Oryzias latipes: one gene and its partners. The main gene of each other region encodes a partner of the protein of the gene in region 2 in a complex. Links are inferred from orthologs where the notes say so. Each region holds a gene or a part of one and is shown on either strand. Other genes may lie near its edges. The genes, in order: tada2b, taf5 and taf11.

Region 1 (4,248 bases), on a different chromosome or scaffold from region 2:
TCTCACTCCGTGGATCAGAATGATCACAAGAACGCTGAGCAAAAACCCCAGAACCACACGGGGGACCTAGTGAACGACCTGCAGAGAGCTGGGACCAAAGTAACAAAGACTACCATCAGTAACACACGACGCCACCAGGGACTCAAACCCTGCAGTGCCAGACGTGTCCCGCTGCTAAAGCCAGTACATGTGCAGGCCCGTCTAAAGTTAGCTAGAGAGCATCTGGATGATCCAGAAGAGGATTGGGAGAATGTCCTATGGTCAGATAAAACCAAAATAGAACTTTTTGTTAAGAACTCTACTCGTCATGTTTGGAGGAGAAAGAATGCTGAGTTGAATCCACAGAACACCATAAGCATGGGGGTGGAAGCATCATACTTTGGGGCTGATTTTCAGCAAAGGGACCAGGACGACTGATCCATGTAAGGGAAAGAATGACTGGGGCGGTGCATCGTCAGATTTTGAGTGAAAACCTCCTTCCAGCAGTTGGGCATTGAAGATGAAATGGGGCTGGGTCTTTCTGCATGACATTGATCCCAAACAAACGAAGGAGTGGTTTCATAAGAAGGATTTCAAGGTCCTGGAGTGGCCTAGTCAGTCTCAACAACTCAACCCCATAGAAAATCTTTAGGGGGAGTTGAAAGTCCGTGTTGCCCAGCGACAGCCCCAAAACATCATGGCTCTAGTGGAGATCTGCATGGAGGAATGGGCCAAAATAGCAGCAACAGTTTGTGAAAATCCTGTGAAGACTTACAGGAAACGTTTGACTGCTGTCATTGCCAACAAAGGGTATATAACAAAGTACTGAGTTGAACTTTTGTTATCGACCAAATATGTGATTTTCTGCATTTTTGTTCTCATCTTGTCCCTCATACACTCATCTACTTACTTAAGAGGGAGAACTTGCACAATTGGTGGATGACTAAATGCCCCACTGTATTTTCAAAGCATAAATAGAAAGTAGCTGCTGGTTCCAAGAAGCCAAAATCCCATAGACTTCTACTGAGAAACAAACAGCCGTTACTCTGTCATTCTATTGGTCAGAATCAACATTCTTGCTCTGATACTTTTTTTTAAACATACTTTTGATCATCCTAATTTTTTCTGTAGTGTAATTTATTCAAGTAATAAACTAACCAATCAGATGCCTTAAAAAATAAAAATGAAAAGAAAGATTCTCCGGCTTTCAGTGGAAGGGGTGTGGACTTCCAACAAGCTCACTCCTGATTGGTGAGAGCGGTTGCCATCGGAATGTTGACTCAGACCAACTTGGACCAATCACTGTTGACTGACAACGTCTGGCTCCAACATGGCGACTTCCATATTGCGTAAAAATGGCGACTGAATTGCCTTAATTTAGCTGAAGTCAGAATTAAGTCGCTTTCCATGGATGAAGTCACACTCACTCAGCTCTCATGAAGAGTCAATGATTGCGCTCTGCCTTTGCCTAACAGCAGCTGGGATAGGCTCCAGCAACCCTGTGACCACAAAAAGGGGTTGATTGGGTTCAAAAAATGGATGAAACGTTTGACTTTAGTTACGGACCGTAACGGTTGTCACTGCACGTGCCGTTCACACAGTGATAGTATGTGTGCGTCGCAGTGCTGATACTTTAGATTAGAATTCGGAACCAGGAACAGGGGGACTTATCCGGACATTTGGGAGCCAACAGCATCTTACGTCTTTGGATCAACTTCACAGCTTCGTGAAAGCTACCGAGTGATACAAGTCCCCCAAAAGTACCACCTGGCAGAAATAAAGCCCGTAATAACATTATTTGATCGATCAAGAAAAACGTATCAATAATCGCCAAAGCACCTGAATAATGTCCTGTGATAATTTGATGGGAAGATGTTTCTAGAAGACAAAACACAAACGTTGATATTTGTACCTGTGATGACAAAGTTCTCCAATTGTTCTATCCAAAAATGTTATCGTTAAGACGTTGTTATTTCGGTGTTCAGAATTGAAAGCTCTACCAGATCTGTGGCCACCAGATTTGGTCTCTGGGTGTCTTGTGGTCCCAACATTAGTGAAAAGGGTTCATGAATCTGCTTTTACAAAGACAACTGGAGGAAGTTTCATTTAAAATGAACGGATTCTGCCAAAAATACTGAATCTAACCTAAAGAATTCATGTGGTTTAAGTCACAAAGTGAAGGCTGTCAGCTGGTTGGAGCCGTTTTAAGGCTCTGAACCCTAGAATGAAACGTTTCCCTCCGTGGTTCCGGGGGTTCGGTCTGCCAGGTGAACGTCTCACCTGTCAGTCACAGTCCTGCTACTTTCCAAAAAAAAACCGACACTTCTCTGTTAAGTTTAAACTATTACCGTCAAACTGTAGAGACACAAAGTTTATCAACTTATCCACCAAACCCGGAGGAGTTTATGAGGAAAAAAGCTCTAAACAGATGATGTCAGTGATGATGTACCCAGTTTCCGAAGCCGTACTGCTCGATGGCATCGAGCAGCGACTGCTCTTCCCTGCTGGTCCATCCTCCCTCCGCTTCGGGACCCCAGATCGAAAAGCGCCCGCCGTCGACCTGCTGGTAGCCGTGCCACCTCCGGTGGTTACCGATCTCTGCTCCCGCCGAGAAGCACTCCGGGCACAGGTCGATATCGGTGCACTCGGTGCACCGGAGCCGCAGGTTGGTGACATCGGCGAGGCAGTTAACGCAGTACTTTTTCCCCAGGTCGGCCATCTTGGCTGGGCTCCTGCTTCTTGTTTGTTGGAGGCGGAACCTCGCGCCTGCGCACATTGAAGCGTGCGGCGCGCGGCCCGTCATTGGCTCTTTGCCCCAGTTTCCAAGACAACGCAAACTAAACTCAAAGCGAGCTTTTTTCTCACCAGTTAGCAGTTTCTTTAGAATATTTACATTTTTCCAGCGGTTTAAACCCAAATGGAAGAATATTATTAAACATAAATATGGTGAAGGAAGAAAAAAAAGGTAAAGAAGAGGAAAATAAGGTTTCCAGCTGAAGCATCAACATCACAAGGGGACCTGATGAGCAGGAAGGTCATGGAAGAGGTTTCTGATAAAACACGTGACGTCACAAACAGCAGCAGGAGTGAGGTTCAAACCGGGTTCAAACCCGCTGCAGGGAGGGACGACAGCCCAGAGGCACAGCGAGTCCTCCAGGAGCTGGAGAAGGAGAACGAGGACCTCTCCCAGAGAAGTAGACAGCTGCAGAGGAAGCTGGCAAGATACGTCTGCAAAGCTGCAGAAGCAAACGCCAAGCTGAGGAGGAGCCCAGACCTGCCCAGGGACCGGTACGAGTACGAGGTCTGCATCCGGACCCTGAGCGCCCTGAAGCAGCAGGTCACGGCGGACTCAGAGTCCGCTCACCTGCAGGCCGAGGAGCTGAGCTCACAGCTTCAGGAGAAGCTGGAAAAGGTTGGTGTCTGCTTGAAACTGCACTCCTGCAACTTCTGACAGGAAGTCAATAGTTTGGGAGTTTACAAAAAAAAGAGTGTAGTGCAGGTACAAATGTAGATATTAAAACGTCAGATTTTTCAACAGTTTTGTCTGGATGAATATTATTTATATCCCATTTTGTCAAATGTCAAATGTGTTTCAGTAAAATAGGAGTTTTTCTGATGTTATGTTTAAAAAAAAAACTAAAAGTGTTATAAAGGTTAAAGAAAGTCTCTCATTTATTTATTTTTAGAAAATATTGATTCTAAAACAGCCAAAGATGAGTTAATGTGCAAAAAAAATGTCATTTTAACTTCAGTTCTGTTTATATGACTTTTTTTTATGTAACCACATTTCTAAATGTAAATAACTTTAGAAATGTGGTTCCATGTTTAAAATATCCACCTGTTTACTCAGTTGAGGACTTGGGGGCCCCAGGGGAACAACAGCATGGTGCCCTCTGCTGCATTTTTATTCATTTTTTCTTTAAAAATCCGAACCCATAGGGTAAAATGTCGGACAACCTCCTCACTGATCCACTTTTAGACAACATCAATGTCAAGAATCCAAATGTTTTGATAAAAATTTTAAAAACTTAAATGTAAAATAAAATGTGTTTCTTTATAAACATTATTTTTACTTGGAAAAACATTAAATTTATTAAATGCACTAATTTCATAATCCTCCACTTCCTAGAAGGAACAAATGTCTTTTCTTTTCTTTTTGTCAGGTTTTGCTAAAGAATAAAAAAACTTGAATGAAATAACAAAACAGTACAAAATGACATCTATAAAAAAAACCAAATATATTTAAAGTTACCGTTTGCTTTTCCTCCC
Region 2 (4,008 bases):
AATGACTGCAAGAAAACTCTGGAAATCTAATAAGCACAAACGGATGTTTCAGAAATGTTTTCGGTTTAGGAGCTGTGACATCGTCCAGCCAGGACACGTGCACATGTGACAGACTGTCTACAGGGGAAACTCTGCAGGTGAACCAAACAAGCCCTCAGAGCTCAAAAGCCCCGCTTTCACTGATGTTTTCAGACTTTCTAAGCTCTGTCCTGTAACACCTGCCATTCAGACGGATTCCCGCCTCAACAGCAGCTTATTTGCCCCACCGTGAGCAGTAAGAGGGGGACGGAGCTGACGGGGCTTTTCTAGAAACTAAAGCCATCCAAACACAAACCAGAATAATCCAGAAGCAGATGAAACGTCCTGGGAAACGTTAAAGCTGCTCTCCCACAGAAAGAGGAAGAGCCTGCCTGTGGCGGAAGCTCCTGAAGATGCAGAAGCTCTGCTCTGCTGACCGCAGAACCTCACCTGTTCTGCAACGGAGCGTTGGGATCTTGCTTCTTGCTCTTGGAACCCATGCTGTCCTTCTTTGGCTTCTTCTTCTTCGGCTTGCCCTCTTCGTTCTCCGCCTCTTCATCTTCATCATCCAGGGGCACTTCAATCTCTGGTTCTTTCAGCAGCCCATAATAAACCTGCAGCCAGAACAGATGGCATTGTTCTCACGGGATTACAGAGGAACGTGCTAAATCTGTCGGGAACTTCCCTCACCTTGGCTTTGTTGGCCTCCCGCTTGGCCTCTCCTGCTAAGCTGCCTGACATGGCGTCTATCTGGCTCTTGCTGCGGGGCATGCCGTCGAAGATGTCGATGTACAGGTGCTCCTGGATGATGTTCCAGATCTGATTGTTCTGGCGCTCCTGCAGGTGCCTCTTCAGCAGCTGGTAGGAGTCACGGGAGATGCGCAGGACGAACTTGCTGGTGCGGAAGTCCAGCAGCGTCTCGTTGCCTCTCATGTGCTCTTTCTTGGTGAGGCTGGATAAAACCCGGAGGTCGTCTTCGTAGTAGCACTCCTGATCCCCGCTGAACCTGCGGACGAGGCCGTGACGAGAAGGCGCGCGGAGCAGGGCGTACTTTTTTAACGTAAACCTTAAAGGGACTTACTTTTCAAAGAAGGCCTTGGCTTCACTCTCATGATTGTTGTACACCAGCTCCAGGTACATGTGGACAAAGAGCGGGTAGAAGACCTGCGACAGCTCTGCCCGGTGGCAGTCCAACACCGACTCGATGAACTTCTTCAGGTCGCTGTAGTAAACTTTGTAGAGAGCCGGGTCTCCCTGCTGGCTGTAGGCTGACAGCACCACACTGACGTCGGGCTGATCGTCTGCGACTGCTGCTGAGAGAATCCAGAGGTGATGAACCCCCACCGCGAAGCAGCCCAGAAAGACTCACAGACCCTTCAACTATGGACCTGTTGCTGGATCTGCAGCTTACCTGGTTTCAACGGTAAAGCCAGGATGAACTCATCTAAACTGGGATTGAAATTGAAGGTGATGTCTAAGAATCAAACCCGTTTACCTGATAGCAACTCTGACATATTTCAGGAAAACGATCACCTGGTTTACAGTCCATTCTCAGGGTTTGTTGACATCATGTGTGCATAAAGACTTCAGGTTTTCTGGAATCTAATGAATCCCATCTATAGTCTCAAAGTTGGAGCTCTTCAATCTGCTAAATCTGCTTTTGCCATCTTCATTTATTTATCATTAAATAACAATGAGGCTTTGTCCTGTCTTCTGAGTAGCCACATCTCTGAATGTAAAAAACAGACAAAATCAAATGTGTGAAAATGCTGGAAGTTGTCAGATGACTGAGAAGTGTGAACCTTGTTAAAGCACTTCATCACAGGATATTCTGCTGTGTGTGTGATCCTGATCACCTCAATTGATCTGATTATTTGTGTGCAACACTAAACTGTATCAGGTCAGCTGTAGACCAAAACGAACAGTGACAGACACAAATATTTGTATAAAGTATTTAGACTTATTTATATTTATTACTTAAAAAGATTCATGGTTTTAGTTTGTGTTCTTGTTAATTTGGATTCTCAGTTTGACCACCTCTCTGCTTCCCCGGGACGTATGTTGCGATCAAGTTTTGTCCACATTTGTTTGTCAGTGTGTGTAATTTACGTTCTTTTTGCAGCTTCTAAACGTGTCTTTTCGATTCTTTTACAACTGTTGCGCGCGCTTTATGAGGAGCGAACAAAGTTCCGGTGGACGGGCTGAGTCCCGCTTGGAGCGTCATACCTTTGGTCGGCGCCGGAGTTCCAGCGGAGGAAGACACGGCCACCCGGCTGAGCAGAGAGCCCGCATCCAGGCCGTCCACGCCGCCAGCGGTGCCGCCCGAGCTGGGCGCACTGCAGTCCGCCCCCTTTGTGTCCAGCGCATCCTCGGGCAGTCCCGCCTCACGCCGCAGAATTTCAACGGACTCCGTCAGCTTGTTCTTTCTCAGGAACTGTAGAACCGCCAGCAGCGTCTGCTGGTCCTCCGGCGCCCCAGCCGCACTTTTGGTGCTCCCAGCCGAGCTGCTGGAGCTCGGGGACGGAGAGAGCTGTCGCCCGTCGGTCGCATTTGTGTTCATGAGCCCGTCGCTCTGCGGTTCGGTTTTTATGTCGACTTCTTCTTTCTCGTCGACCATTCCACCCTGCACGGCCGCCATTTTCAGAATGAAGTGCGCATGTGCGAGGTTGAAAAACGAGAAGAACTGACTGCGCAAGATAAGCAAATCTGATTGGTTCTCAGAGTGACATGTGTGTGAGAAGCCCGGCCCCCTCCTGGACGGCTCGTGCGGTTCCGGGTTTTTTTTTTGTCTTGTTTTTTTTTTTTTAAATAAACCTTTATTGACATTTTATCATTCAAACTGTGTCTATGATTTAGAAAAAAATCAAAACAATTTTTAAGGCCAAAATTGATAGAACTGTATATGATAAAAACTTGAGCAAATTTTTTTCTTCAAGACTACATTTTTTTAAGAAATACACAAAATGATACATCCATACAAGGAAACAAAATAAAATAAAATAGTGGTCTAGTTAGAAGTAATACATTTGAGGTCCTAAACGTTTTAATAATTTCCTACTTTTGTGCTCATGAGATCATCAGATGACACAGCCTTTGTTGAGCTGATATTACAATGTTGTTAATATTTTTTATTAAAATGGGTAAATTCCTCTGATCAAACTAGTTTTTTTTGTCTCTGTGATTGAAATTAACTTTAAATAATTATATAAAAGATTAAAGAATAAACAAACAAAAAAAAACGAATCAAAGCGAAAACATGAAAATCAAAGAAAGAAACAAATGGGGTAAAAAAGCAATCAAAGCAAAACTATTAAGATCCCAGGAAAAGTAAAAAAGAGAAAAAAGCGTTCAGATTAAGAACAAAAAGATCAACTGAAAATTTTAATCTAAGCAAGAATATAAAGATCAAAAGGGAAATTCAATCGGAAAAGATGGATCAAAGCAAAAACATAGAGCTCAAAGAGAGTCAACGGTTAAAAAAGCAATCAAAGCAAAACTAAACTAAACAGCTATCAAAGAAAAAACACAAAGATAAACGAAAAAAATACAAAAGGGATCAAAGTAAAAGCATAAAGATCAACAGAGAAAGATCAACGGATAATTCAAAGGGAAAAAAGCAATCAGAGCACAAACATAAAGAACAGAAAAACCAAAGAGAAGAAAGCAACAAGAGCATAAACAAAATAGTCAAATGAAAAGAGGGATAAAAGTGAAAACATAAAGATCAAATAAAAGTCAGAGGGAAATAAGCGATCAGAGCAAAAACCTTAAAATAAACGAAAAACTCAAAGGAAAAATGGGCATGTCTTCTTATCTGGGGATTTAATGCAAATAGCACTTTATGGGGGGGGAAGGTGACAGATGCTAATGGTGAGGTACTGGAGGACATGATGGATGATTTATACTTGGTCTGTCTCATTGATTGGGGAGGGACAAGGATAGATGAACAAACAGGGAACATGTCAGCACTAGATCTCACTTGTGTTTGGA
Region 3 (3,996 bases), on a different chromosome or scaffold from region 2:
GGGGGTTGCTTGTAGTAAAATTCCTCTGTGACCCTCTTCTTCTTCTCCCAACCTCAAGTTATTCCTGAGAGCTACTATGCGGCAGGGAACAAAAGCTCCCTCCAACCAGCGGCTCCTTCTGTCCCTCTCCCCGGTGCTGCTGGCGCTCAACGGGCAAAAGTTTCAGTCAGCAGCACGGCACCAACCACCGAGCAAACTTCCTCTGACCAGTCCTCCAAGCGTCGTCCGTCACTTCCTTGAAACTGCCCTTTCTTTCTGCATCTCCAATCCAAAGCTCTTCAGTCAGACACACTCAGATTCCCTACCACCGCCGCCCTTCGCAGATTAATAAAACATATGGACGGGGAAAAGCAACATGGCGCTTGGCAGGATTCTATGAGGACATTGGAGATTGTTTTATTGTTCCGTTACCCCAGTTGGTTTGAAAATCGAGAGCTAATTTTCTAACCGGATAGTGTGCAAATCGCTTACTTTTCAATGAAAAGAAATAGCAATGTGTATATATGAATACATTTAAATGAAATAGACAAATATGTAACCTAATATTTTTTGTTCAAATGAAAATACGACCTTTTCACTACTTTACATTTTTGGAAAATGTCTATTTATTAAAAAAGAAAATTTTTTTAACACTTCACTATTTTTTCAGCTGACCATACAAAATCAAAAACATCATGTTTCCTGTCACATTGTTATTTTAATGTATTGCAATATTTTGTGGAGTTAAAAAAAATTACAGGGACACACGAGTAAGATAAACTATGTTAGAGGTTGCATTGTAAATGATAAATGAACAGCTACAATTATGTAAAATGTAATAATTGTAAGTATTATTTTCTTGACAATATTTGTTGTTGTATTTCCTGCGTAACTTTAGCACAGAGTTTGTTTTTTTTTAACCGTGACAAGGTGGCGTAAAAAAACAATGTTTTGTATGTTCTATTGGTCTTAAAATATTCTAGTTTGGTTTCGTTTTTGCAATTTTCTTCTATTTTGTGTTGAGTTTATACATATATATATATATAGAGAGAGAGAGAGAGAGAGAGAGAGAGAGAGAGAGAGAGAGAGAGAGAGAGAGAGAGAGAGCAATTTGACACATTTTTCATGGACAGTACTAACTTCAACACATTTTGACATAAAAAAAGAAACATTTAACGCCTTGTTAATAAAGTTTATTCAAAACGGAAACGGAAGCACTTGGGTTTTTTTAGGCTATTATTCGATGGTAGATGTTTACCAGGAAAGCTAGCTTATCTTCTTTAGTTTTTTGCCTTTCTATGTAGTACTTATAGTTATTTATCCATTGTTTATGTAGACCTTTTTTCTTTTTGACATAATTACCGGTGTGTGTCGTTTAAGGACCGTAGACTACATTAGTGCACTATAACAGCTAACTATTAGCTGCTAGTGTTGCGGCAAAGGGCTTTGTTGTTGACGTCTCTAGCTAGCTGTAGAGGAACGTGCATGAGATACGCAGTTTTCATCCAGAATTTATTCAAATACGCCGGCTACACAGCTGAAACTAAAGTCTCGTAATAGCTTCTTCGTTGGTGTTTGCAGACTGCTGTTTAGAAACTTAGGTTATGGCAGACCCTGCACGGATAAAGCCGGCAGAAGACAAGTCTGAGAAGGCAGCAGCATCCAAAGGGGAGCCGTGTAAAGAGACGAACATAAAAAATGAAGCCATCGCAAAAGAATCTGCAGACGAAAAGAAAGAGTTGTCCGCACAAGATCCATCCACAAGGGAGGTGAAACATGTGAGTAGAAATGACTGTGTTCAAAAATCCTTTGTGGAAGAAAAAAAATCTAAGCAAAATCTAGATGAGTGGAGAATTATTTAGGTTGTTAGCAGTACAATTGAGGAGAAAGTTACAGTCTAATGCATAGATCTATGGAAGTTTGACATAGACATACAACCAATTCTGGACCAAATCTGTTATCAAAAATTGGGGGGAAACTGATGTAATAAACAATCCACAATATTAATGGTTGTTTAAATATGATACTCGTGTTTTGGTTTTGTGCAGAGAAAAAGAACTTGGTACAATATGTCTTTATTTTCATTTAGAACATTATAGTAATTTTGGAGTCAAATATGTTTGATGCATATTTGAATTAATGGGCTTCAAGGGGTTGAACATTGATTTCCAAGACAATTAAATTGGGACCCAAGGTAAATAACTAGATAAGCCTGAAGAAAAATGTACAAAATCCTGAGTATTTATTAACAATGTTCAAGCAAAATATTTTCATTGAGGAAGTATTTAACTTATGTATTATTTTTATTGTATATACAAAATAAAACTGACTCTTTCTTAGCTTTGACATGCAGTTCATTTTTTAATTATAAAATAACTTTTGATTGACTAAATTTGGTTGAAAAATAAACCCTTCATACTTGATCACATTGGTCTACCATTGCTTTTTTTAAATCCAAGTCTTCTTTTGTTGGGTATGTTAGAGTGTAGCAAACTTACATGTAACGAGCTTCACTTACATCCTCACATTGTATTCTAAATAATTGTGCATTGAACAAACACAACATTAAAAATGGGAAGAAGTACTAAAAATTTAGGAAGGGAAATCCATTAAAGTGTAAGAAGACTTTAATCATGATGGGTTTTTTTTCTGAAAAGGAAGCTGCACCTGGAGATGATGAAGAAGAGGGAACCTCCGGTCAGCCTCCTGCAAAAAGGCTAAAGGTGGAGCCGGATAAGAAAAAGGAGAAAAGGCAGAAAGTTGACGAAGATGAAATACAAAAGATGCAGTAAGACTGCCGTTTTTATTTTTTCCTGAAATATTCCATGGTGCTGTCATCTTTATTAATTTCACCCCGTTTCTTGTTCTTCCTGGATTCTTTTAGAGTTTTGGTGTCTTCTTTTTCTGAAGAGCAACTAAATCGCTATGAAATGTACAGACGCTCTGCCTTCCCCAAGGCGGCCATCAAGAGGGTGAGCTGTCTACAAAAACTAATTCTTTTTCCTCCCAAAAACGTTCTTCTGTCATTCTTGTGGCTTTTTTGGTCGACCTCCAGCTGATCCAGTCAATCACAGGATCGTCAGTTTCCCAGAATGTGGTCATAGCAATGTCTGGTATTGCCAAGGTTTTTGCTGGAGAAATTGTCGAGGAAGGTGAGTGTTTAAGGCAACAAATAGTTTCTAGTATTATGCAGCTTCTATCCATTTTCCTGGAAGCTTAACATTTTTGCGTCTTTTGTTTTTCGATTCACAGCGCTTGATGTTTGTGAGAAGTGGGGGGACACGCCTCCGCTTCAGCCCAAGCACATGAGGGAGGCCGTCCGAAGGCTGAAGAGCAGAGATCAGATTCCCAACACAAAGTATAAGCACATTCTGTTTCACTGAGACCGTTGACCTGTGGGTTAAATGAGGATGCAGGTGATTAAAACAGCCTCAAGAGCCTCTTGTCAAACTCCAGCCACAGAGGCAGGCGGACATTCTTTTTCCAAGGACTAGTTTTTTTGTGTAAATAAAGATTTTACTCTCAAATTTTTTTTGGTACGATTTGGGTTTTAATTTTAAAAAAAAATCCTATGTGGACATAAGCAAAATTGATATTTCAGACGTTTTCTTAGTGTATTAGAGGTTCATGTTTATAAAAGGTTTGATATTATGAAAGGATCTTATAGCATTTACTTTGTTGTTGAATTGGTCATATTTTTTAGGTCTTGTGTTTACGGTCAAATCTGGGTTCAGTCCCCGTCTGAAAAGGAAGTTTCTTCCTTGCTCATCAACTCTTTCCCAATTTTGAGAAAATCAAACGTTTGGCTTTGTTATTTTGGAACATAAAACGTCTTCAATGTGATATTACTTAAGTGCTCACAGAAACATTGACTACCTCTTTGGTATAAACTCACTCGGTGAACAGCAAATCTTTTCTACTGGAAAGAAAAAAACACAGCAACATCAAACTGTGTTCAACAGTTTATTTTTTTACACTTAAAATCTTTACAGCACACTGATTTTGGTTCACAGAACC

What was found.
Region 1: taf5 (region 2) and tada2b share a complex: the UniProt entries of both Homo sapiens proteins name them as parts of the TFTC-HAT complex. The link is inferred for Oryzias latipes from reciprocal best matches to the Homo sapiens genes TAF5 and TADA2B.
Region 3: taf5 (region 2) and taf11 share a complex: the UniProt entries of both Homo sapiens proteins name them as parts of the TFIID basal transcription factor complex. The link is inferred for Oryzias latipes from reciprocal best matches to the Homo sapiens genes TAF5 and TAF11.

The regions. Positions count from the first base shown.
Region 1 is NC_019876.2:26,805,274-26,809,521, forward strand, and holds the start of tada2b (transcriptional adapter 2-beta), read right to left. Parts: upstream 2,802-4,248; 5' UTR 2,783-2,801; coding exon 2,429-2,782; intron 1-2,428. Other genes in the region: ccdc96 (coiled-coil domain-containing protein 96), read left to right, coding at 3,002-3,391. UniProt on the Homo sapiens protein: Coactivates PAX5-dependent transcription together with either SMARCA4 or GCN5L2.
Region 2 is NC_019859.2:29,661,556-29,665,563, reverse strand, and holds the start of taf5 (transcription initiation factor TFIID subunit 5), read right to left. Parts: upstream 2,801-4,008; 5' UTR 2,657-2,800; coding exon 2,245-2,656; intron 1,332-2,244; coding exon 1,100-1,331; intron 1,025-1,099; coding exon 709-1,024; intron 633-708; coding exon 469-632; intron 1-468. UniProt on the Homo sapiens protein: The TFIID basal transcription factor complex plays a major role in the initiation of RNA polymerase II (Pol II)-dependent transcription.
Region 3 is NC_019865.2:19,681,647-19,685,642, forward strand, and holds taf11 (transcription initiation factor TFIID subunit 11), read left to right. Parts: upstream 1-1,195; 5' UTR 1,196-1,583; coding exon 1,584-1,757; intron 1,758-2,636; coding exon 2,637-2,767; intron 2,768-2,863; coding exon 2,864-2,951; intron 2,952-3,034; coding exon 3,035-3,131; intron 3,132-3,231; coding exon 3,232-3,362; 3' UTR 3,363-3,510; downstream 3,511-3,996. UniProt on the Homo sapiens protein: The TFIID basal transcription factor complex plays a major role in the initiation of RNA polymerase II (Pol II)-dependent transcription.